Linked DNA regions of Saccharomyces cerevisiae S288C. The protein of the gene in region 2 interacts with the protein of the main gene of each other region in a biochemical or structural test. Each region holds a gene or a part of one and is shown on either strand. Other genes may lie near its edges.

What was found.
Region 1: the proteins of HSP82 (region 2) and AHA1 form a complex in vitro, tested with the Saccharomyces cerevisiae proteins (7 studies listed by BioGRID).
Region 3: the proteins of HSP82 (region 2) and SBA1 form a complex in vitro, tested with the Saccharomyces cerevisiae proteins (10 studies listed by BioGRID, with this or other methods).
Region 4: the proteins of HSP82 (region 2) and STI1 form a complex in vitro, tested with the Saccharomyces cerevisiae proteins (13 studies listed by BioGRID, with this or other methods).

What each region holds. Positions count from the first base shown.
Region 1 is NC_001136.10:891,186-898,125, forward strand, and holds AHA1 (Aha1p), read left to right. Parts: upstream 1-1,689; coding exon 1,690-2,742; downstream 2,743-6,940. Other genes in the region: UPC2 (Upc2p), read left to right, coding at 1-1,307; YDR215C (uncharacterized protein), read right to left, coding at 2,904-3,317; DNA-binding transcription factor ADR1, read left to right, coding at 3,850-6,940. UniProt on the Saccharomyces cerevisiae protein: Co-chaperone that binds to the molecular chaperone HSP82 and stimulates its ATPase activity.
Region 2 is NC_001148.4:95,996-100,377, reverse strand, and holds HSP82 (Hsp90 family chaperone HSP82), read left to right. Parts: upstream 1-1,752; coding exon 1,753-3,882; downstream 3,883-4,382. Other genes in the region: YAR1 (Yar1p), read right to left, coding at 292-894; GTPase-activating protein CIN2, read left to right, coding at 4,120-4,144, 4,225-4,382. UniProt on the Saccharomyces cerevisiae protein: Molecular chaperone that promotes the maturation, structural maintenance and proper regulation of specific target proteins involved in cell cycle control and signal transduction. Undergoes a functional cycle that is linked to its ATPase activity.
Region 3 is NC_001143.9:216,813-224,180, forward strand, and holds SBA1 (Hsp90 cochaperone SBA1), read left to right. Parts: upstream 1-3,511; coding exon 3,512-4,162; downstream 4,163-7,368. Other genes in the region: OAC1 (Oac1p), read left to right, coding at 532-1,506; VPH2 (Vph2p), read right to left, coding at 1,758-2,405; serine/threonine protein kinase PRR1, read right to left, coding at 4,532-6,088; DNA-(apurinic or apyrimidinic site) lyase APN1, read right to left, coding at 6,540-7,368. UniProt on the Saccharomyces cerevisiae protein: Acts as a co-chaperone.
Region 4 is NC_001147.6:376,635-385,066, reverse strand, and holds STI1 (Hsp90 cochaperone STI1), read right to left. Parts: upstream 4,015-8,432; coding exon 2,245-4,014; downstream 1-2,244. Other genes in the region: YOR029W (uncharacterized protein), read right to left, coding at 132-467; CIN5 (Cin5p), read left to right, coding at 647-1,534; BUB3 (Bub3p), read right to left, coding at 4,261-5,286; NAD-dependent histone deacetylase HST3, read right to left, coding at 5,505-6,848; AHC1 (Ahc1p), read left to right, coding at 7,355-8,432. UniProt on the Saccharomyces cerevisiae protein: May play a role in mediating the heat shock response of some HSP70 genes. It is required for optimal growth of yeast cells at both low and high temperature.

The DNA.
Region 1 (6,940 bases), on a different chromosome or scaffold from region 2:
CATCGAATAACGCCCAAGGGGGAAGTGCTAGTATTATGGAACCTCAGGCGGCTGATGCGGTTTCGACAATGGCGCCTATATCAATGATTGAAAGAAACATGAACAGAAACAGCAACATTTCTCCATCAACGCCCTCTGCAGTGTTGAATGATAGGCAAGAGATGCAAGATTCTATAAGTTCTCTAGGAAATCTGACAAAAGCAGCCTTGGAGAACAACGAACCAACGATAAGTTTACAAACATCACAGACAGAGAATGAAGACGATGCATCGCGGCAAGACATGACCTCAAAAATTAATAACGAAGCTGACCGAAGTTCTGTTTCTGCTGGTACCAGTAACATCGCTAAGCTTTTAGATCTTTCTACCAAAGGCAATCTGAACCTGATAGACATGAAACTGTTTCATCATTATTGCACAAAGGTCTGGCCTACGATTACAGCGGCCAAAGTTTCTGGGCCTGAAATATGGAGGGACTACATACCGGAGTTAGCATTTGACTATCCATTTTTAATGCACGCTTTGTTGGCATTCAGTGCCACCCATCTTTCGAGGACTGAAACTGGACTGGAGCAATACGTTTCATCTCACCGCCTAGACGCTCTGAGATTATTAAGAGAAGCTGTTTTAGAAATATCTGAGAATAACACCGATGCGCTAGTTGCCAGCGCCCTGATACTAATCATGGACTCGTTAGCAAATGCTAGTGGTAACGGCACTGTAGGAAACCAAAGTTTGAATAGCATGTCACCAAGCGCTTGGATCTTTCATGTCAAAGGTGCTGCAACAATTTTAACCGCTGTGTGGCCTTTGAGTGAAAGATCTAAATTTCATAACATTATATCTGTTGATCTTAGCGATTTAGGCGATGTCATTAACCCTGATGTTGGAACAATTACTGAATTGGTATGTTTTGATGAAAGTATTGCCGATTTGTATCCTGTCGGCTTAGATTCGCCATATTTGATAACACTAGCTTATTTAGATAAATTGCACCGTGAAAAAAACCAGGGTGATTTTATTCTGCGGGTATTTACATTTCCAGCATTGCTAGACAAGACATTCCTGGCATTACTGATGACAGGTGATTTAGGTGCAATGAGAATTATGAGATCATATTATAAACTACTTCGAGGATTTGCCACAGAGGTCAAGGATAAAGTCTGGTTTCTCGAAGGAGTCACGCAGGTGCTGCCTCAAGATGTTGACGAATACAGTGGAGGTGGTGGTATGCATATGATGCTAGATTTCCTCGGTGGCGGATTACCATCGATGACAACAACAAATTTCTCTGATTTTTCGTTATGATAGAAAATTTAAAAGTGCAGAATATTCGAAATAGATTCCCAAAAAAAAAAAAAGGGATATTGTGTTACCCAGTTCACAATGGAATTTTCTAGAAGAAAAAACAAAGAAGCCTCGCAACAAACCAAGATGGATTCAAAATGCCTACTTACCGCATTGTATGTGGGAGAATGAACATATCTGTAATTGTATTATATAAAAGTAGTTAGTTTTTTTTTTTTTTTTTTTTTTTTTTTTTTTTTATGTGTAATGCAAATACAAAAAGAACTGCAGGCATTTTGAAAGTTCACTCGTATAGGAAACTTTGATAGAGAGGCAATTCCTTACTTTCGTTATTCCTTTCAGTCTTATTCTTAATCGTTTATAGTAGCAACAATATATCAATATGGTCGTGAATAACCCAAATAACTGGCACTGGGTCGATAAGAACTGCATCGGATGGGCCAAGGAGTATTTCAAACAGAAACTGGTTGGAGTGGAGGCCGGTTCGGTGAAGGATAAAAAGTATGCCAAAATCAAGTCTGTTTCGTCCATTGAAGGTGATTGTGAAGTTAATCAGCGTAAGGGGAAGGTTATATCTTTGTTTGATTTGAAAATCACGGTGTTAATAGAGGGACACGTGGACTCTAAGGACGGATCGGCATTGCCATTCGAGGGTAGCATTAACGTTCCTGAAGTTGCCTTCGATAGCGAGGCCTCAAGCTATCAATTTGACATATCTATATTTAAGGAGACTAGCGAATTGAGTGAAGCCAAGCCACTAATTAGATCCGAGTTATTGCCCAAGTTGAGACAAATTTTCCAACAATTTGGCAAGGATTTGCTGGCCACCCATGGTAATGACATTCAGGTGCCCGAATCTCAGGTGAAATCTAACTACACAAGAGGTAACCAAAAAAGTAGCTTTACCGAAATCAAGGACTCCGCTTCAAAGCCAAAAAAGAATGCACTTCCCTCTTCTACTTCAACTTCAGCACCAGTCTCCAGCACCAACAAAGTCCCCCAAAACGGAAGCGGCAATAGTACATCTATTTATTTAGAACCAACTTTTAATGTGCCTTCCTCCGAGCTCTACGAAACGTTCCTTGATAAGCAACGCATATTGGCCTGGACCAGATCAGCACAATTTTTCAACAGCGGACCGAAGCTGGAGACCAAAGAAAAATTCGAGCTCTTTGGCGGCAACGTGATCAGCGAGTTGGTTTCATGCGAAAAGGACAAGAAACTTGTTTTCCACTGGAAACTCAAGGATTGGTCTGCCCCTTTCAACTCTACTATCGAAATGACTTTCCATGAGTCGCAAGAATTCCATGAAACCAAATTACAGGTGAAGTGGACTGGCATACCCGTTGGCGAGGAAGATCGCGTGCGCGCTAATTTTGAAGAATACTACGTGCGTTCTATTAAATTGACATTCGGCTTTGGTGCCGTATTATAAGATATATTGTTCTCATGTTTCAATAAAAGTATGCGTAAATATTTACATACCACTATTGGCATAGATAGAATGCAATACATCATGTAGTTCTGTACGGCATCCGCGCGGCTCCGATCGCCCGTCCTACTTTTGCGGCCCGGCGCCGACGGCCTCCCCGGAATTTACCAACGAAGAGGAAAATAAACTGGAGTTATAACGCCATTGGCGGGAAACTCCGAAACCATAGCGCCGTGGTCTTTCCCCGGTTTTTTGGCGCCGGGTGTGCTTGCGTTGTGTGAACGGCGCCCTGGCAGCTGAGGGGGAAGGGAAACGCCGGAGGCGACGGCAAGGATGACCATGGCGTCAAGGAACATGCGGAACATGCTAGAATGATTGCCGAAAGGGCGGGCCCTAGTCAATGGCATCATGCGGGAACGTGCAGTAAAGCTCAATGTAACTTGATGCCTATCGGCGTTGTTCGAGCTAAGGACGATGTGATAGACTGAGGAAGGGTGAACGTCGATAGTTAGCCGTTGTGAACTAAATAAAAGTGATATTTTTTCGTTGTTCTTTTCTTGGTTTGGCGGTGTTTTCATTTGTTTTCATGTTTTACTTCGCCACAGGTTTTCAAAGAACAACGCCTTAAAAATAGGAAAACGTTTTCGCTACAGGTGTTGTTATTATTGTTGTTGTGCTGTTGTTTATTGTGCTATACTTGTGGTATTTATTCTGGACTTCCGATCGGAAATTTTCTTCCCTTGAAGACCTTTTGAAGACAACAGTTATATATCATTGATCTGAATTTCTCAGGCTATTTTCAAAATTCCATACCTCCTTATTCCAACATTTGCTCGACTACTATAGAAAAGCCTTATTCTTTTATCTTTGAAAGAAAGAAAAGGTGTCATAGCAAAAGTTTATTGTTACTCTGTTTTGATATACTCCCTCTTATTCGTTGGAAGTATAAGATTGATTTGCATAAATTAACCAATCATTTTGCTACTTTCCCGGTTCTCCCTTTATTATAAACACTTCAGAAAAATATTCTGCTACTATTCCTTACTTTACTATAAGAATTTTGTTTTCCAAAAAAAAAAAATATAAAAAAAATAATCATACTCTATTACTATGGCTAACGTAGAAAAACCAAACGATTGTTCAGGCTTTCCCGTTGTTGACTTGAATTCGTGCTTTTCTAACGGCTTCAATAATGAGAAACAAGAAATAGAAATGGAAACGGATGATTCACCGATTTTATTAATGTCATCATCAGCTTCCAGAGAAAACTCAAACACTTTCTCTGTGATACAGAGGACGCCAGATGGAAAGATCATTACCACAAATAATAATATGAACTCCAAGATTAACAAGCAACTGGACAAGTTGCCCGAAAATTTAAGGCTTAATGGTAGAACCCCCAGTGGGAAACTAAGGTCATTTGTTTGCGAGGTTTGTACGAGAGCGTTCGCAAGACAAGAGCACTTGAAAAGACATTACAGATCGCATACAAATGAAAAACCTTATCCCTGTGGCCTCTGCAACAGATGCTTTACTAGGAGGGACTTACTGATCAGGCATGCTCAAAAAATCCATAGTGGTAATTTAGGGGAAACGATTTCCCATACCAAGAAAGTGTCGAGAACTATAACTAAAGCTCGGAAAAATTCTGCATCCTCAGTCAAGTTTCAAACTCCAACCTATGGTACTCCAGATAATGGTAATTTTTTGAATCGCACTACTGCCAATACAAGAAGAAAAGCAAGCCCTGAAGCTAATGTTAAACGTAAGTACTTGAAAAAACTGACGCGCAGGGCTTCATTTAGCGCACAATCAGCATCCAGCTATGCTTTGCCCGACCAATCTTCGCTAGAACAACATCCAAAGGATCGTGTTAAATTTTCTACGCCTGAATTAGTTCCACTTGACTTGAAGAATCCTGAACTTGACTCTTCGTTTGACCTGAATATGAATCTAGATTTAAACCTAAATCTAGATTCCAATTTCAATATAGCATTAAACCGTTCTGATTCTTCTGGATCAACAATGAATTTGGATTATAAATTGCCCGAATCAGCAAATAACTACACATATTCTTCCGGCTCACCAACCCGCGCATATGTCGGCGCTAACACGAATTCTAAGAACGCTTCATTTAATGACGCAGACTTATTGTCGTCGTCGTACTGGATAAAAGCCTATAATGATCATTTGTTTTCAGTATCTGAAAGTGATGAAACTTCTCCAATGAACTCTGAATTAAACGACACTAAATTAATCGTCCCAGATTTTAAATCGACTATACATCATTTGAAGGATTCAAGGTCCTCCTCTTGGACTGTTGCTATAGATAATAATAGCAATAACAATAAGGTATCAGACAACCAACCTGATTTCGTCGATTTTCAAGAACTGCTGGATAATGATACTTTAGGTAATGATTTGTTAGAGACCACTGCCGTTTTAAAAGAATTTGAACTTTTACATGATGATAGCGTAAGTGCTACCGCCACGTCAAATGAGATTGACCTTTCCCATTTGAACCTATCAAACTCTCCAATTTCTCCTCATAAGTTAATTTATAAGAATAAAGAGGGGACCAATGACGATATGTTGATTTCTTTCGGACTCGATCATCCTTCCAATCGCGAAGATGATCTGGATAAGCTATGTAATATGACCAGAGATGTTCAAGCCATATTCAGTCAATATTTGAAAGGAGAAGAGTCTAAACGATCCCTGGAAGACTTTTTATCAACGTCAAACAGGAAAGAAAAGCCAGATAGCGGCAACTATACTTTTTATGGGTTAGATTGTTTAACGTTATCGAAAATATCAAGAGCTCTGCCGGCCTCCACTGTGAACAACAATCAGCCATCGCATTCCATAGAATCAAAGCTATTTAATGAACCAATGAGAAATATGTGCATTAAAGTGCTTAGATACTATGAAAAGTTCAGTCATGATAGTAGTGAGAGTGTCATGGACTCTAATCCAAACTTGCTGTCCAAAGAATTGTTAATGCCAGCTGTGAGTGAATTGAACGAATATTTAGATCTTTTCAAGAATAATTTCCTTCCCCATTTCCCTATTATTCACCCAAGCTTGCTTGATTTGGATTTGGATAGCTTGCAACGATATACTAATGAGGATGGGTATGATGACGCTGAAAACGCGCAGTTGTTTGATCGATTAAGTCAAGGGACAGATAAAGAATATGATTACGAGCACTATCAAATCTTGTCCATTTCGAAAATCGTTTGTTTACCCTTATTTATGGCCACATTTGGTTCTTTGCATAAGTTCGGTTACAAATCTCAAACAATAGAATTGTATGAGATGAGTAGAAGAATTCTACATTCTTTTTTGGAGACTAAAAGAAGGTGTCGCAGTACAACAGTAAATGACAGTTATCAGAACATTTGGTTGATGCAATCCCTAATATTGAGCTTCATGTTCGCTCTAGTTGCTGATTATTTGGAGAAAATTGACTCCTCTTTGATGAAAAGGCAATTGTCCGCATTATGTTCAACGATCAGATCAAACTGTTTACCGACAATTTCTGCAAATTCTGAGAAGAGTATCAATAATAACAATGAACCTTTAACATTTGGTTCTCCTCTTCAATACATCATTTTTGAGTCAAAAATTAGATGCACCTTAATGGCTTATGATTTTTGTCAGTTCTTGAAATGTTTCTTCCATATTAAATTCGATTTGTCTATAAAGGAAAAAGATGTTGAAACCATTTATATTCCCGACAATGAGTCAAAATGGGCCAGTGAATCGATAATATGTAATGGGCATGTTGTGCAAAAGCAAAATTTTTATGATTTTAGAAACTTTTATTACAGTTTCACGTATGGACACTTACACTCAATACCAGAATTTTTAGGGTCATCTATGATTTATTATGAATACGATTTAAGAAAAGGAACCAAATCACATGTGTTTTTGGATCGAATCGATACGAAAAGGCTAGAGAGGAGTCTTGACACTTCTTCCTATGGCAATGATAATATGGCAGCAACCAATAAAAATATTGCGATCTTAATTGATGACACCATAATTTTGAAAAATAATTTAATGTCAATGAGATTCATCAAACAGATTGATCGCTCGTTTACTGAGAAGGTTAGAAAAGGACAAATAGCAAAGATATATGATTCCTTTTTGAACTCTGTGAGGTTGAATTTTTTGAAGAATTATTCAGTTGAAGTAT
Region 2 (4,382 bases):
TTCACTTTTTCTCGCAATTACAAAATTTTTCACTCCGTCGTTGATGAGGACTCCGGCTCTGCGGGTAATGAAATGGAAAGTTCAATGCATTCAAAATATACGCTTTTGAAGCGGTTACTTAGTTTGTGAGAGAAATATACATTATTACTGTAACTCTTTTCTAAATTTTTTGTATTTATTAATGCATTTCTGCTGGTTCCATCCTTTTATCTTCTCCGGTACCAAGAAATAAAATATCATGCTCAATGGATATTACGGCTTTTATTCCACGAAGAAAACAAGCTCTTTACTTTAGTCTTTATTTATATTCAGTTTCTCGGTTTCTTCTCTTAAAGCCTCGGTGGCTTCCTTGGTGACTTGTTCAATTTCTGTACCCTTTGTGATTTGGACCGAATTCTTGCCCTCAGTTTGTGTGTCTTCTTCATCATCTTCAGGTTCGACATCATACTTCTTCAAAAAGTATGTTTCCACTTCTTCCTTCCCGCTGTTCTCGGCCTCAAAGATAGCATCGTGGCCGAATTTGTTTCTAATAAAGGGGTCTGCCTCATATTCATCACACAGTAGCTTGACCACGTCTAATTTGCCATTCAACGACGCCCAATGTAAAGCCGTGTTGCCTGTTTTGTTCACCTCATTAACAAAAGCTTTCAAGTCTTCGGCACTATTTGCGCGAGAAACCGTCTCCAGTATATACCGAACGGTCTCTATATGACCGTTGGCAGCAGCCATATGTAAAGCCGTAGAATCAGATTCACTTTCCTTACAAGTCGAAAGTAACTCGGGACTGACTAAAGTTGTAAATATATCTTTCAGAGAATCCAAATCGCCAGCTCTTGCATCGAGTATTATGGTGTCTTGGTCCTCTTGATCTAACGGTTCACTGTGTAGGCCCATATCTGCGTATATGTAGATTTTTTTTTTCTATTTGGAAATAATTACTTTCTTTGAGATAGAGCGCGAACAATTTTGCCTATCGTATTACAATTCGTTTTTGTTTTACACAAATGATAATTAACTCATCGATTTTTTCTCAGATTCTCTTTTTCTTTTATTACTTTTCCTTCTTATTCTATGAAAATTTCATATCATCGTTCATGGTGATATTACCACGGTGACATCAAATGGAATTGTCCTATTTTTCTTTTCCTGTAATTAGTGGCGCGGGACTTTTTATTCCTCGTGGCAAAGAATGGCTACTAAGAGGAGAATAAGAGATGGTTAGAAGTATTTGGAAGCTTGATGACAGAATATTTTAAAATATAACTTAGCTTGCGTGTGCGTATTTGTATTCTTCGTGGTTACGATATGAACCAACGTGCAAGCGTGTGATATATCACATTCCGGAGGGTGTCACCCCCCCTCTCTCAACACAGTAATCCATAAACCAGTTTTACATACACGTAAAAAAGAACAGGAATAAAGCTTAATCGGATTATTAACTCATACGCTTGTCACATATTGTTCGAACAATTCTGGTTCTTTCGAGTTTCGCAGAACTTTTTGAATTTTTCTTTTTTTTCTAGAACGCCGTGGAAGAAAAACACGCGCATGGTTTTATGAGCGGTTAATTCTCATCTTAATACCAACCAGGTCCTTCCGCCACCCCCTAAAACATATAAATATGCAGCTTATCCCTTCAATTCTTAACATCTGTGACCTCCTCATTTCTTCCCGCTGTATTAGAGTTCAAGAAATCATACCTGATAGAAAATAGAGTCCTATAAACAAAAGCACAAACAAACACGCAAAGATATGGCTAGTGAAACTTTTGAATTTCAAGCTGAAATTACTCAGTTGATGAGTTTGATCATCAACACCGTCTATTCTAACAAGGAAATTTTCTTGAGAGAACTGATATCTAATGCCTCGGATGCGTTGGATAAAATTAGATACAAATCTTTGTCTGATCCAAAGCAATTGGAAACAGAACCAGATCTCTTTATTAGAATCACTCCAAAGCCAGAGCAAAAAGTTTTGGAAATCAGAGATTCTGGTATTGGTATGACCAAGGCTGAATTGATTAATAACTTGGGTACCATTGCCAAGTCTGGTACCAAAGCCTTCATGGAAGCTCTATCTGCTGGTGCCGATGTATCCATGATTGGTCAATTCGGTGTTGGTTTTTACTCTTTATTCTTAGTTGCCGACAGAGTTCAGGTTATTTCAAAGAGCAACGACGACGAACAATACATCTGGGAATCCAACGCTGGTGGTTCTTTCACTGTTACTCTAGACGAAGTTAATGAAAGAATTGGTAGGGGTACCATCTTGAGGTTATTCTTGAAAGATGACCAATTGGAGTACTTGGAAGAAAAGAGAATAAAGGAAGTTATCAAGAGACATTCTGAGTTCGTGGCCTACCCAATCCAATTAGTCGTCACCAAGGAAGTTGAAAAGGAAGTTCCAATTCCAGAAGAAGAAAAGAAAGACGAGGAAAAGAAGGATGAGGAAAAGAAGGATGAAGACGACAAGAAACCAAAATTGGAAGAAGTCGATGAAGAAGAGGAAAAGAAGCCAAAGACGAAAAAAGTTAAAGAAGAAGTTCAAGAGATAGAAGAACTAAACAAGACTAAGCCTTTGTGGACTAGAAACCCATCTGATATCACTCAAGAAGAATACAATGCTTTCTATAAGTCTATTTCAAACGACTGGGAAGACCCATTGTACGTTAAGCATTTCTCCGTTGAAGGTCAATTGGAATTTAGAGCTATCTTATTCATTCCAAAGAGAGCACCATTCGACTTGTTTGAGAGTAAAAAGAAGAAGAATAATATCAAGTTGTACGTTCGTCGTGTTTTCATCACTGATGAAGCTGAAGACTTGATTCCAGAGTGGTTATCTTTCGTCAAGGGTGTTGTTGACTCTGAGGATTTACCATTGAATTTGTCCAGAGAAATGTTACAACAAAATAAGATCATGAAGGTTATTAGAAAGAACATTGTCAAAAAGTTGATTGAAGCCTTCAACGAAATTGCTGAAGACTCTGAACAATTTGAAAAGTTCTACTCGGCTTTCTCCAAAAATATCAAGTTGGGTGTACATGAAGATACCCAAAACAGGGCTGCTTTGGCTAAGTTGTTACGTTACAACTCTACCAAGTCCGTAGATGAGTTGACTTCCTTAACTGATTACGTTACCAGAATGCCAGAACACCAAAAGAACATCTACTACATCACTGGTGAATCTCTAAAGGCTGTCGAAAAGTCTCCATTTTTGGATGCCTTGAAGGCTAAAAACTTCGAGGTTTTGTTCTTGACCGACCCAATTGATGAATACGCCTTCACTCAATTGAAGGAATTCGAAGGTAAAACTTTGGTTGACATTACTAAAGATTTCGAATTGGAAGAAACTGACGAAGAAAAAGCTGAAAGAGAGAAGGAGATCAAAGAATATGAACCATTGACCAAGGCCTTGAAAGAAATTTTGGGTGACCAAGTGGAGAAAGTTGTTGTTTCTTACAAATTGTTGGATGCCCCAGCTGCTATCAGAACTGGTCAATTTGGTTGGTCTGCTAACATGGAAAGAATCATGAAGGCTCAAGCCTTGAGAGACTCTTCCATGTCCTCCTACATGTCTTCCAAGAAGACTTTCGAAATTTCTCCAAAATCTCCAATTATCAAGGAATTGAAAAAGAGAGTTGACGAAGGTGGTGCTCAAGACAAGACTGTCAAGGACTTGACTAAGTTATTATATGAAACTGCTTTGTTGACTTCCGGCTTCAGTTTGGACGAACCAACTTCCTTTGCATCAAGAATTAACAGATTGATCTCTTTGGGTTTGAACATTGATGAGGATGAAGAAACAGAGACTGCTCCAGAAGCATCCACCGCAGCTCCGGTTGAAGAGGTTCCAGCTGACACCGAAATGGAAGAGGTAGATTAGGTAGAACATCATGGCCTTGAATAGGTTATAAACAAAACATAATATAACGTATAGGTATTCGAATGAATAAATAAGTATGTAAATAGGGCATCTGCATGGAAATAACTGGGTAAAACATTACAATGTATTTTTTTAGAGTTTTCACTATTCCGACGCGTCTAGTGTGTCATACAAAACGCGAAGAATCTGAAATCGTGAAATATACTTAAGAATATAACTGAAATAGCTTAAGCATAAATGGACTTTACTGCGAAGATAAAGGGTATGTTGAAACTCATCTGCTTTCATTATGCGTCCAACTAATTAACATTGCATATTTTCGTATACTATTTTTTTGTGTAGAGCTCGAACGAGAACTCTCAGAGACGAGTGACTATAAGACCTTGCAGAAGAAGACCATAAGTCTTCGAAGTGAGCTGAATACTCTGTCACATTCTTTGACATCTTATGAAAAAGAACACTTCTCCAATGATATAGAAAATGTATTAAAATCTATTAAT
Region 3 (7,368 bases), on a different chromosome or scaffold from region 2:
CATTACTGACACATTTTCTCACAGAACCATCTACAACCCGAAAGATGCCGGAAACGGTCTTAGGCCGATGGGGTCTATTAGGGCCTACAGAGACGTCAATTGGGCTATAAGAAAAATGAAATCGAGGAAAGATTTTCCACTCTCAAATTAAGTAGGGCAAAAATATGCTTTTGTTCGCATGTGGTGTTATTCCAGTTGCGAGTCAGGGTCTGCCGATATGCTAAAGGAGGTCACGAAAACGAATCTGGCATTTAATACCTCATTAAGTTACAGCGGAATCGGCCTTCTGTTGCGGAAAAAAAAAAAAAAAAGAAAACGAACATTAAGCACCGCTGAAATTTCAAGCTGTGACTAAGTCGTCAAATGATAAATACTGCATATATATAAACTATGTGATTATATGCAACATTAAGATATACTTTCTTCTTCCATAATGCCCCCACTCCAGAACTCCATCCGAAATAGTTTTCCTTAGATTGCTATAGCAAGTCAGACACAAGCACATCTCATCGAATTATATCGTAAGCAAATATGTCATCTGACAACTCTAAACAAGATAAACAAATTGAAAAAACAGCCGCCCAGAAGATATCGAAGTTTGGTTCGTTTGTGGCTGGTGGGCTAGCAGCATGTATAGCTGTTACAGTTACTAATCCGATCGAATTGATTAAAATCAGAATGCAGCTTCAAGGTGAAATGTCAGCATCAGCTGCAAAAGTTTATAAAAATCCAATCCAAGGTATGGCGGTAATTTTCAAAAACGAAGGTATAAAAGGTCTGCAAAAAGGGTTAAATGCTGCTTATATCTATCAAATTGGGCTAAATGGTTCCAGATTAGGGTTTTATGAGCCAATCAGATCATCATTAAATCAGCTTTTCTTCCCAGATCAAGAGCCACATAAGGTACAGAGCGTCGGAGTTAACGTCTTTTCTGGTGCCGCATCTGGTATAATTGGTGCAGTCATTGGCTCTCCATTATTCTTGGTGAAAACAAGACTTCAATCATATTCCGAGTTTATAAAAATTGGTGAACAAACGCACTACACCGGTGTTTGGAACGGGTTAGTAACCATTTTTAAAACCGAAGGTGTTAAGGGTCTATTCAGAGGTATTGATGCGGCAATTTTAAGGACAGGTGCTGGTTCCTCTGTTCAACTACCTATCTACAACACAGCAAAGAACATTTTGGTCAAAAATGATCTGATGAAAGATGGCCCAGCATTACATTTAACTGCTAGTACTATCTCTGGGTTAGGTGTTGCCGTCGTTATGAACCCATGGGATGTCATTTTGACAAGAATCTATAATCAAAAAGGTGACTTGTACAAGGGACCTATAGATTGTTTGGTCAAAACTGTTAGAATCGAAGGTGTAACCGCTTTGTATAAGGGTTTTGCAGCTCAAGTGTTCAGAATCGCACCTCATACAATCATGTGTTTGACCTTCATGGAACAGACAATGAAACTAGTTTATTCGATAGAGTCGAGAGTTTTAGGCCATAATTAATTCCCATAACAAACTCCGAGGTTTGAAGTTTCATTCATTGGCCAGGACAGTTCTACTTTACTAATGGTTTCATTACAACCTTTTTCTTCATATTATGTAGCATTAAGGATAATAGAGCATTTTTTATTTCACATTCATACACGATAGTTTTATAAACGTAATTATAAACATACAGAACATTATTCACAATTGTCCAGTTCCAAGAATTATATGCTCTCGGATCTCGGAGTTCTTATTTATAAAATGATCAGTTACAGTGTAATCTTGCTTAGAACTTTCTTTTTCTCAACCTTTGTTTTTTCTTTTACTTTTGCTTCTTCGAGTTTTTTCAGATAGCTGTTATACACAACCACATCTGCTACTAAGACCAATATTCCAAAGAACAAGCACAACAAAAGACGAACATGGACCGGAAAGTTTGTTGAAGATCCGGTCCAGTACCAAATGGCCACAACAACCGATATGACACTTACAAGAACGTTGAAAACAGTGGTAACTTGTTCCTTAATCTGTTTATTAATTTGTGAAGGCGTGAGTTCATCGTCTTCTTGAAGTGAAAAGACAGACTTGCTTCTCTTGACCATACTTTGATATTCAAGTTCTTGTTCCTGATATTTCAAAAACTCTAATTTTTTCTTGAAATCCTCTGAATAGTGTAAACCTCTGACGGCCTTGGGCTTGAATTCGAACTCCAAAGGTTTCAAAAGTTCTTTGATAGAGCATTGGAGATCACTGTCTTTTCTATACTCTTTCACATAAAAAAGAAGTGACTGCATAGGTATTGCGTGTCGCTTCAGGAACAAATCAATGTCCTCATCAATTCCTTCGTTTGATTTCGCGCTATTCTTGAACTTTCGCAGAAATTCAGTTATTCTATCATTCAGTTTAATTTCGAACATTAGAGTTCTTTTATGTGATGCCAATCGTCAATTATCCTATCTTACCTTTTCTTCATTTCTTTCAGCGTTTTCATGTGAGATTTGCTTTATTTTCGCTTCCTCGTTTCTCATTTTAAATATTCACACGTCCGTCATGTCTACTTTGAGTCAGTTAAATACACAAGATTTTTGTAAAACTGAGTATTTCGTGAACAATATAATTGTTCGGATTCAATCATAGTTAAAGACTATAGTATGAGATACACAGAATATCCTAAAAGTTCCCCTCGAGGGTATAGGAAACCTCAAAATGGAATCGGTCTTTCTACATGATAATATTACTCTAACTTCTTTTCTTCTATACTTTGCCATTCATTACCCTATCACGTTATCAATCCTTGCATTTCAGCTTCCATTAAGACCGATAACTGTTTCCCAATCTCTATGTCATCATCTTACACCGCTGTGATAATATTCTAGGAAGACGAATACTAGCCAATAGATGATACAAGGATTTCATTTCGACAGAAACAAAAAAAGCATGGAAAAACGAATGGAGACAAAGAGGAAGTTAAAGAAAGTTCATTTGTGACCTCATTTACTCAGAAGAATTTCGTAAATCGGTTGTTATAGAACTGTTTTATTGTTTAAAAGAGCTTGTTATAGTAATCTAAGTGGAAATACACTAACAGTAAATAGGGCGTGTGGCGTAGTCGGTAGCGCGCTCCCTTAGCATGGGAGAGGTCTCCGGTTCGATTCCGGACTCGTCCAATCTTTTTATACTTATTAATAATTTTTTTCCTGCCGTTACTTGCTTTTAAAATAACTGCCTTTTATGAATACAGAGTATAATTTTTGATATACAAAGAGGTTGACTGTGATAATCAATACTTAATTTGTGGTTATTGGTACACATATACCTACAAAAGTTACCAACAAACTGTTCGACTTTTAATGCTACCCGCCTTCCGAGTGTTTTTGAAGGGGCGGAGAGGAGCGGCAAGAATTAGCATGGAAAAAAGCATAAAAAGACGAAATGGGTGGCAATGTATTAACTTGTTCGAGAAACCTAGTGGACTCAATTCATTACAACAACAAGTTCCCAAGATCATCGATTCATAATAGTCATGTCCGATAAAGTTATTAACCCTCAAGTTGCATGGGCTCAAAGGTCTAGTACTACTGATCCAGAAAGAAATTATGTCTTAATAACTGTGTCAATTGCAGACTGTGATGCCCCTGAGTTAACCATTAAGCCATCATACATCGAATTAAAGGCTCAATCAAAGCCTCATGTTGGCGATGAAAATGTCCATCATTATCAATTACACATTGATCTATACAAGGAAATTATACCTGAAAAAACAATGCATAAGGTTGCTAATGGCCAGCACTACTTTTTGAAATTGTATAAAAAGGATTTAGAATCTGAATACTGGCCACGTTTGACAAAGGAAAAGGTGAAGTACCCTTACATCAAAACTGATTTCGATAAATGGGTTGATGAAGATGAACAAGACGAAGTTGAAGCTGAAGGTAATGATGCCGCTCAAGGAATGGATTTCAGCCAAATGATGGGAGGTGCTGGAGGTGCTGGAGGTGCTGGAGGCATGGACTTCAGCCAAATGATGGGAGGTGCTGGTGGCGCTGGTTCTCCAGATATGGCTCAATTGCAGCAATTATTGGCTCAAAGCGGTGGTAATTTGGACATGGGAGATTTCAAAGAAAACGATGAAGAAGATGAAGAAGAGGAAATAGAGCCGGAAGTGAAAGCTTAAAAGGAGGAGCAAATCAACCTGGAGTGCTAGAATGAGTAACTTAGAATAAAAGACGAATATATGCACTTTACACAACTCTTTACCTGTTTGTTATTGGCTGCCTCTATGTAATTAAATATTATGGAATTAATAAAAATATTTTTATTCGTAACTATCTTAGATATATATTGTACATTGTCAAAAAGACAGTAGTAAGCAGATAGAAGCTATATTGGATGCAAAATAGAGAAAAAAGCAGAAATATTATGTTGCAAATGTCAAGTAATGGAACTGTATGTGATATTTAAAGAACAATTTCTATATGCTGGATGATTATCAGGTGTAAGCAATAAGAAAGAAAACGAAAGTAACTCCCATCCGTGGGAAATTTCAAGAAAAACTTAGAGTATCAGCGATCGTTTTAACGAAGGGGGATTCGTAAATTTCATTAATCGACCAACGTTGGTTCTTCCTCGTTAGCGTATTTTCCACAATCTGTTTTCCCACATTAGTTTTATAATCGCTTAACCGGTACCATCTCCAATCAAACCTGGCAATACGATGTGACGTAGCTCTGCTACGCTGTCTTGCTGAAGCGTTTGGAGGAGGGTCAAATGGTAATCTGTCCTCAAACAAGCTGTATAGTATGACACCTAAGGCCCACGTGTCGCTTAAATGGCCATCGTAGGGAACTCCCATCAGGATTTCTGGTGAGACATAATCCTCTGATCCACATCTTGCTGTACACATCTCATTGTTCTCAATTTTTTTGCAGAGACCAAAATCTGCTAGCTCAATGAAATTTTGCTTGCAGTAAATGGGTGAGTCCCTAAAACTGTTGATATCATCAAAACTATATTTCAGTAGTATATTCTCTAATTTTAGGTCCCGATGAATAATACTGTTTTCGTGCAAATATTTTACTGCCAGTACTACTTCCGTAAAAATCCTTTGAATCAGCCACGCTTCTAGTCTTCCGTTACGGGCCATGACGGCAGCTAATAAGTCTCCTGCAGGACAATAAGACATAATCATATCACAAGGCGGCAGAGCTCTTGGAGTTTTTATAATCAAATCGCATAAAGGTTTTTTGCTAGTAACAAAAATTGGATTGTTTATCCCAAGTAGTTTAACTATACATGGGTGATTTAGTGATTTTAGCACCTGCAATTCCCTAGTCAGAGAATTTTCCAAACGGGATAAAGTTTCCTTATATCGTAACGATGTATTGATTTGTTCAACATTTGATAATTCCTCGGGATATTTGAGTCGTTTAACGGCCACTTGTTTCAGTTTAGGATTGCTTTGGTCCATGAGTTCATATAAAAGTACGGTACTAAAATTTCCTGAACCAATGGGCCTGACCTTTTTCCATAATAACGGGCGATCCCAGTGATCTAAAAGAAATCCCTGAAATATATCATCGTCACACTTTTCGGTAGAACTACTACTTTCGGGAAAATAAGGTTCTTTCGTGTAGTTATCACTATCAACAGAATCATTTACTAAAGCCTCTTCAGTCACTGTTGGTAAGGAAACAACCCTTTGGGGGGATAAATTAGCTGGTGCAATAAGTTCAGAAACAACTCTTTGGTTTGGTTGTGTAACAGAAAGCATATCATCCAGTAATCGTGCATGACTTCGTCTTTTGGGTATATTCAACGAGGATTGATCTATAGGTGACATTGACAGATTGCCTGGGGATAACGGAGTGTAGGTCATCGGTGTAGGTAATGCTTGGACATTTTCAAACGTCGGAATAGATACAGTCAAAGGTGTACTGCGAGAATCACCAGTGGTCCCTTCAGTGGATGCCATTTTTTTATCTTCCTCACCATTTTCATCAATCAATGCCTTTTCGTGTTGATCGCCAATGGAGTCGGGAAATCCTTCTTGTTTCAACCGAGGAGTCTTTGGTTGTGAATATATACTACTATATTCATCCATTGTCGGTATAACCTAACAGCTGCTGTGGGTATGGATGAATTCGAAGCGTAGATGTGATTACTATCTCAAAATATACTTGTCTAATTGTGTAAAAAAGAAAAAAAAGATAAAGAACACACCCCGCGTTGAAGATTACAAGTAAAAAACTTTCTATGCTTAGGAATAACGTTCCATAAGAGGATGGTGTGCTCAGCCTTCTTAGTTCATTTACTGGAATGTATTTAACTTTACCCTTTTCGTCTGCTAATCCATCAGTATGTGAAAAATGAAAATCTAAAAAAAAAAAAGGCTGCCTTATTCTGTAACGCAACGCGAAACATCTATAAACCAAGTAAGTAGTTTCTATGAAATGGGCAACAGCATCTTGGATGACGAAGGGTAGCATTTAGTTACGTACGTTGAGATAATCTACAAAAATTGATTACGTATTTAAAATTCTTCTCGCTTCTCATTATTCTTTCTTAGTCTTCCTCTTCTTTGTCATTTGTGACAAGATATCATTATCGCTTGGCTCTGCAGTGGCTTTCTTCCTCTTGGTGCCCCCAGCTCGCTTCTTTTGTTTAACCTCAAACTTGTCTAACTGTTCCTTACGCGATTTAGCACCTAATTTCTGCAGCGTATCATTTTTTTCTTTATACTCCTTGTCTTCTAACAATTCGCTCTCACTCTTTGATTCCAACCACTCCATAAGTTTGATTTCATTACCATAGCCTTCATCATTTTCGTATGGAGTTTCCAAGACAATAGGGATACCCTGCAGGTATTCAGAGTGCGCGATCATTCTAAACACATCTATACCCAAATAACCTTGACCCAAGCGTTCATGCAAATCTCTATTTGCTCCTAAAGGAGCCTTGGAATCATTTAAGTGAACAGCACTTAGATATTTGAACCCTATTACATCATTGAACTCTTTCCAAAAATTGTTAAACGTTTCAGTGGTGCTGATATCGTAGCCTGCTGCAAATGTATGGCATGTATCTATGCAAACGCCGATTCTTGATTTATCTTCAATCATTCCAATAACCTCCTTCAAATCTACCAGAGAACTTCCTACTAAATTTCCAGTACCAGCCATATTTTCTAATACAATTTTAACAAATTTCGTTTCCTTAATTGCTTTGTTCAAATATGAGGCTAGTTGTTTTAACTGCAACTGATGGTCTCCTTTCAAAGTAGAACCTGGATGTAAGTTATACAGGCCTATCCCTAATTGCTCACACCTGTTCAGATCGTCCATGAATGACTCATAACTCTTTTCTGCCTTTTCCCTATCCGGA
Region 4 (8,432 bases), on a different chromosome or scaffold from region 2:
CTTACAAAACACGTAGATGATGAAAAGGGCCGCAAAAGTTTCTGTTATTCTTTAAATTGTTCCCAGAAATCCTCGAAGGAATGACCTAAATCTTAAGGCACTTGCTTTTAAAACTATTGTTCGTTAATTTGTTAGTAATGCAACCAAGTGCTCCAGCCCAACCGAAAAAAAGGGAAATTAACTTTACATCGATAAGCTCTGACGCAATGCGGGAGGGGATTTCCCGAGCGGAAATACCACGGCGCTGAAAAAAAAAAAATCGGAACCGGAGTTGCCTCACCGATCCCAATGGTGACATGCAAAGAAAATTTTATTGGCATTAAATCTATGAGGAAGAGGGTAGGAAGGAGTACTAGGCAAAAATCGTAACTAGGAGCAGAAGGCGAGTAAAACCCTTTCAATACTAGGGAGAGAGTGATTTGATAAGGATACCTCCTCACTCGAGAACTAGTTGATGTCTGCATCATTACCAAAGTTCATGTATATAAAAAAGGAACTGGGTGATTTATTTTTTCTCACGCATTCTGCTTACAAATAATTCATTAGATAATTTTACTGATTAACTACGACTTTTTGCAGCCGTTAATCTCATCATAGATATAGAATAACAGCTTGGAACAAGAAGGAAAACCAAAAACCTACTCAAATGTTAATGCAAATAAAAATGGACAATCATCCTTTTAATTTTCAACCTATTTTAGCTTCCCATTCAATGACAAGAGACAGTACAAAGCCAAAAAAAATGACGGATACCGCTTTCGTGCCAAGCCCTCCTGTAGGGTTTATTAAAGAGGAGAACAAGGCTGATTTGCATACAATTTCGGTAGTTGCTTCGAATGTGACTCTACCGCAAATTCAGCTCCCAAAGATTGCAACACTTGAAGAGCCTGGTTATGAGAGCAGAACTGGCTCACTTACAGATCTTTCTGGAAGAAGAAATTCTGTTAATATAGGAGCATTGTGTGAGGATGTTCCAAATACTGCGGGCCCACATATTGCAAGGCCGGTGACAATAAACAATTTGATTCCTCCGTCTTTACCAAGACTGAACACATACCAGCTTAGACCGCAACTATCAGATACTCATTTAAACTGTCACTTCAATTCTAATCCATACACCACTGCATCACACGCACCATTTGAATCTTCCTACACTACTGCATCTACATTTACTAGCCAACCGGCAGCTTCATATTTTCCCTCAAATAGTACCCCAGCTACGAGAAAAAATAGTGCCACGACTAACCTTCCTTCAGAGGAAAGACGTCGAGTTTCCGTTTCTCTTTCAGAGCAGGTTTTTAACGAAGGCGAAAGATATAACAATGATGGCCAGTTGATCGGTAAAACAGGCAAACCTTTAAGAAATACTAAGAGAGCTGCCCAAAATCGAAGCGCACAAAAGGCGTTTAGGCAGCGTCGTGAGAAATACATCAAAAATCTCGAAGAAAAATCAAAACTATTCGATGGCTTGATGAAAGAAAACAGTGAATTGAAAAAAATGATTGAATCATTAAAGTCGAAATTAAAAGAATAAAATAATGAATAATTATTAGTACTAGTAACATCTTAAAAGTTTTCAAAGCACATGGCAAGCACTTCTTCAGGGGGATGCAACCCCCCTTCTCCAAAGAAAATTGATGCCTAAGGTGGCGAAAATATTACGAGATAGGAAACAATTTATGGTTTCTAGTTTCAGGCAGCTTGTATTAGGTAATCAACAAAGCTTAATTTTCACCATTTTTATTTTCTTTCCTTCATCTCCCTTTTTTTATGGCAGGCACATTACTAAAAAGGAAAGAGTCAAGAGTGTAAAAATATACGTAGAAAATACATAGTAAGAAACGAAATTATATCATAGCAATTTGAAAAGTTTATTTCCCTAATTTTTTCAGCTTAGCGAATGTTGTCATGGAGCTTAGATATTCTCGCTTTTTTTTTTTCGCATTCTGATGTAATGAATATTGTTGACGTAAAGTTGTGCCAATTACGTAATTTTTTTTGTTTCTAAGGAGAGTTCCGGCCAGAAATTTCCTAGGGCTGATCCGGAGAACGACAGGAAAGATGGTCCGATGTTTTTTTCCCTCGCCCAAGAAACTTATTATCTTCAAGTTCCGATTTCTCAAATATCAACCATAGCATGAAACAAATTTAGTATACTAAGTGAGAAGATCATTATATGTACGTATGTATGAAAAAGCAGTAAAAAAAGAATTCAAGATAATAAAGTTATATTTCGTATTATTTTTAGCGGCCAGTCCGGATGATACCAGCAGCGATCAACGTCTGAATCTTTTTGAATACTTCTGGATTTTTCATGTGTTCTTGTAAAGCAGCGGGATTCTGTTGGGCCTGCTGCAAAATACTTTGCATAACAGGATCTTGCATGATCGCAGCCACTTCAGGATCTTTCATGGCCCTTTGATAGGTTTCTTCTGGGGTTTCGTTACTGGTACCAGGTTGGAATCTTTGTTGGCTTGCCTTGTAGTACAGTTGATCAATTTCCCTTGCACTAGAACCATTATTCACTTCAGCATCTTTGGTTCTGGCCGCATCTAGTGTTTCCAAAGCGGAAGCATATTCTTTAACAGCAATTTGTGCGGTGGCCTTTCTGATATAAGCTCTCACGAAATTTGGATCTTTTTCAATGGCTTTGTTACAATCTGCGATAGCTTCAGGGAAAGACATTAACTTCGCTAGTGCAGCAGCTCTATTAGAATATCCTCTAGCATCTTCAGGTGCCCTTTTGATCATTTCAGTGTAAGCCTTAACAGCATTCGGCCAATCACTCTTGGTAAAATATTCCTTACCTTCAAGACGGGCTTCCTCCGCCTTTTCAGGGTTAACATACGCCTCCGCCTCAGCTTTCTTCAATTCTTTTTCAGCATTCCTTAACTTGGTCAAAATGTCAGCAGTACGATGTTCGGTCAATGATTTTTGGTAGTATTCTATAGTTTTCTTCAAGTCACCCAATTTGTGATAGGCATTACCAATACGCGCAAATGATTTGGAAATGACCTTGTAATCCGCTCTCATTTCTCTACCTTGCTCAACAGCATCATTCAAGGTAGAAATAGCTGTCTCGTATTCGCCTTTTTCGTATTCAGCAGCAGCACGGTTGTTTAAATAGGTAATATCTTTATGCAGTTCCCACGCCTTGTTGTAGTGCTCTATAGCTTCATCGAATTGACGTGCCTTGTAAAACTTGTTACCTTCGGCCTTTTCCTTGTCGGCCTCAATTTTAGAGTCATCTTCATCAACTTCCATTGGCTCGGATTCCTTACTTTCTTCTTTCTGTGGTGCTTTAGAGGAATTTTCCTTGCTCGTAGTGGAATCGCTTTGTGGTTCAGCATCTTTCTTTTGTTCAGTGCTTTTACTGGTTTCCGGTTCCTTTGGCATGGAGTTTGATTGGTTTATATCATCCATGTTTAAATCAACCCCCATCAATGTAGCCATGATGGTCATTAATCTTGGATCAGTAAACAGATCTTGGCCAATAGCTTGCGGATTTTGTTTGTACCCAATCAGTTTAGCCACTAATTGAGGGTCCTTCATCATTTCGCTAGTTTTTGGGTTCTTCTTTAAATTTTCAATTAAATTTGGGTCAGCAAACAACTGTGTCAACCCTAAATCAGGCTGTGCCTGTCTTGCCTGTTGGGTACGATGAACCTGATCCAATCCTTCTTTGGCGGCCTTGTTACTGGCATCCAACTCCAAGGCTTTTTTGTAGTTGCTTTCAGCTTCGTCGAGATCGCCAAGACCTAAGTGGGCGGCACCGAGTCTATTATAACCCTTAGACCAAGATGGATTGATTTTGACACATTCATTAGCATCATTCAATGCGTCACTAAATTTCTTTAAAGAAGTATAACAGGCGGACCTGTTAGAATATAAAACATGGTTTGGAGTTTCAGAAACTTCAATAGCTTTAGTGAAGAGCTCTATCGCTTTATCGTAATCCTTAGCGGTAAATGCAGCGTTACCTTGTTGTTTGTATTCATCGGCTGTCAATGACATCTTTCTTGCGTATAGGTTGTTTTAGTAGCTACAGTGAGGAATTTGGGAGCAGACTTTTGGGCTTAAACAAGATACCTTAATAAGATGATTGATCTATATATAATTTTTCTAGCAGATCCTATTTACTTAATCTATGTATGTGATTTTTTCTTTATTCCTTAAAGGAGGAGAAGCGAAGAGAGAGCGATGAATCTGAATTTTTTTTCTGGAATGTTCTATCATACTACACGAATCTTCACGAAGATATCAGTTCTCATAGTCAAATATTATGTATATTGAACTTGCGTTTAGTTCAATAGTTTGGTCAATTGCGGCGTTTGTCTTGAAAGTATCATCAGAAGTTGCCAGACATAGAATATTGTCCGAACAAGCAATTTTAACCACGCTGTCTTCGTTAAATTTGGCGAAATTTTTTATTTTCTTGCGGGTTTGTAGGTTCCAGCATGAAATTATGCCATCAGAGCCAGCCGTGTATAGGAACTTATGACGGGGGGAAAATTCAATAGAATTTACTGGATACGCTAAGTTTGTATCTTTTAAATTCAAACGGTGGCATCTAAATGCAAATCTTTTGCTTGAGTTGTAATCATCGCCCTGATCATCGAAAAACTCCACAGCAACTCGCCCGTCAATGCTGCTACATGCATAACCTTCTTGTTCTTTCGGTAAAAGAGCGACATCTCTTATTTGGTACTTCAGTCCTGATTCTTCAATTGTTCCGTTATCATCCTCACAGAGTGGCAGGCGAAACCATTGAACCTGACTATTGTTCATACCAACGATCAATCGAGAGGAGTTTGTATCCATAGTAAATATCTTATTCTTCACCTTTGTGTTATTAGAGTTCAAATTTTTAACAGCAATAACTCCATCACCATAATTGCGAGGGTCGATAACCTCTATCAGGCCATCCCATGACGCGGCAATGAGTTTATCGTCTCCATATTTGCATATTCGGCAAATACCCAAATTGGCTTCATTGTTCGTCAAAGCTTGGAAGCTGGGACTACCTATCAAATCAACTTTTAGAATTTCACCCTGTACAGTTCCCACGTATATTTGCAGATCGGTATTGTCGATGAAATTGCAGCACAATAACGGATGTTTATATCGTAGCGATTGTAAAAGGTCAACATTCTTTGCTTGAATGTCGAATTTGTAGACTGTTAAAGAGCCATCCCAAGACGTAATCAAAAGCAGTGACTTGGAAGGGATTATTTTGATGTCGCTTATGTAGTCTTTTGGGGCCTGCTCAATTTGTACTATCTGCATGCCGCGACTGTTGTGTTTTCGTGTTGCAGATATCAGATAGCTTTTCTTTCGCGATGTGATATTTTTTTCGTTCACTATTTTTTGTATTCTCGGACATGCAGATCTCCGTTGGTATATGTATGAGTATATAAATGGAAGATAAATTAAACGGATGATATATTATGCAAAGGGGTGTCTGCCTCGATTATTTATCGTTAACTCAATTTTAATAGTTAAGTTTATGAGGCTTGGTTGTCACCGAAAGTTGGTCGTATCTTAGCGCGTTTTCTTGTATCCAAGTTTTCCTCTTCGTCTTCCTCACTGGAGTTTTCTGGTGACAGTATTTTTCTCTTAACTGTGTTTAACGACTTTATTTTTGTATTCAATTCGTTGTTTCCTTGAATATCAATCCCCTGGGCAGTTCGTAGAGGGGTTGTTGGGGGGGTTCCGATTGAGTCTTTTTGGGCCTTCATTTGCTTTCTCAAGTCGCTCGCCTCCCTTTTTAACTGTCTTAACTTCTTAATTTGATCTTGCGTCTTGAAGAAATCTGGTATTTGGGATTCAAGAAATGTGACCCAATTATCACAATCTGAGTGGATTTGGTAGTCTATAATGCCGTGCCAAGAGGATTCGCCAATGGGTGTCTTGTTTACGAGAATGATCAGGCCGCCACGATCGTGAATTTTCTTACTTAATTTTTTTACCAGTTGTTTCACACCATCAACTTTCAAACTTGTACCCATGATGATCAAAAAATCAGGATTGCCTTTAATTATGTCAAGATTTAGGCCTTGCGTAATAATTTCACAGGATGGATGGTTTTCACCATACAGGACGATATTAGGTCTTAGAATACCCACATTAGAACCAAGAGTTCGCTTTCCTTCATTCAATCTCTTGTTGATAAGTGCTTCGCAATCCGGACACAATGGTAACTCACCTCTTCTTAGACAACGAGACCAGTACCTGCTCCAGGGAAAAGTCTGGAAGCACTTTGTACACGAAAGAGTTTTCAGGTCGCCGTGCAACTGAACGACATCCAGATTTTTCCAATGTGAACTAAATGAGGTAAGCGGTAATTTCCTATTTGATAAAGTAAGTCCTATGCTTTCTTCGAGCCCATCGATGTTTTGCGTGTAACAGCGCAGCAGTTTGTTCCTATCTTTTAGATGCGCAATGAACTTGTGCGTCTTAGTCGGCTTTGCCAATTGAACATTTGAATAGAGCCTCTCCATAAATTTAGCAAAAATGGATATTTTGAAGTCATCTCTAAATAGCGAAATATCAAACATTTCCCTGCCGGACTTGATAGACCAATACTGTGAACAATCCTTTTTCACTAGGTCGTAGAGCCCATCAGAAGAGCGAAAGTCAGGAATGCCCGCGTTGCACGAAATGCCTGCCCCAGTCAGACAAGCAATTCTCCTAGATCTGCTCAACTGCTTGGTTACGCGCCGGAGAACTTCATCGTCGGCATCAAGACCTATAATATGTGCCAGTTTCTCAGTCTGCAAAGAGGACGGTAAGTCGGAGCACATTGAGCCCGATCGACTGGCAGGTGGCGAGGGCGATACTGAAGTCATTTTTGAGAAAGATGGATCTAGTTGTATGTAAATTAATCCCTTCAGTTTTTACACCACTAACCACGTATTTGCCCTTGCTTGTGTTATATATAAGACGTACGCCAGATATAGTTCTCTGGCACGAATAACATTGCTTGCTTTTATTGACGTTTTACCCTTTGTGGTAACAGCAAACATAAACGTCGTTCGTGATGTTGAGTTACTTATTGTTACCCGCAATTGAGGGATACCCGCCACAGAAACACATGCAGTGCATTTGCCACTGTGCATAGCCGTAGGAAGAGGGAAAAACGAACAGGGAAGAAGCAGGAAGAGCAGACAGCAAGAACCCGTGCTAAGGAAGGTGATGAACTTTGGCCACTGAAGGCGCATTTTACCTCTGAAGGATCCCGTTTCCACATTTGTAAGCTAGTGTTCGTTCATATAAACACCCTGATCTTCGGCATTTCACTACTCTTCGGGCTCACGCTTCTCATCCAACACTTTGTGTATATGTCCATCTCCTCATGATGAGTCCCGCCCAAGATAAACTGCAGCACCAGCATCATAATCCTAATTCTTCCTCATCGTCATCCTCTAAGATGACGAACGTTTATCAGGTTACCACGCCAAAGTCTCCTCAGGATTTGGAAAACAACATGGATGAGCCCTTCAAAATGGACACCGCCACCAGTAATCCGGACAAGGATAGCGAAAATACCCAGCGGTTGAAGTACGAATGTGCCAAAGGGGAAATACAGAATGTTTTGAACCTACATATAATGCTAAACCACAAGCATGTTAGGCACTTACGAAGAAATGTTCAAAAGGTTAACGCAAAACTAGCTCTCTTGGAAACCCTGCATAAGGATACTGGTCTATTGAACAAAATCGAACGGACGTATCAACTCAAAATAAAACAACATCAGCAGCATAGCGTGCTCGGCGGCCACTTTCACGACAGTACGGCTACGGAAAATACGAACGCATCAAATTATAACCTGTCATACCCGGTTCTATCGGATTATAACATCAACTGTCAGCCTTTGTCTTCGAGCAGCAACAGAAATCTGTCAACAACACGCATACCACACCACCATTATCATACTAGAAGCAAGAGTAACGGGCTTTTGCTAGAACCTTCTGCCCTCCGTCCGGCAAATTCGAATATAATTGATTACAGGCTAACAGGTTCTAAATCTCTATCAGAAGCCATAACCAAGCCCACTCCCGTCTCGCTTCCTCACTCTAATTCGGATGGCATTTCTTCACCTCGTTCCTCCTCAATCTCCCCCTTAGACGAGCAGCCGGGGTTCCAGATACTCCCTTTTAAACCAAGTCAGATGCATCTTAACCACAGACGTAATTACAGTAGCACTTGTTTGACGAGCAATAGCGGTATCATCGGTAAGACTGAAAATAATGAGCCCATTTTTAGAAGATATGACGGCATTTTGGTTATAATTACGTGCTCCAAATGTGACCGTTCCGGTTTCACTTCCGCGCAAGGTATCGTGAACCATACTCGACTAAAACATTCTAAACTATATTCAAGCCAACCATTGGCAGTTTTAAACAACCAAAAACTACTTCCTAATGATAAGC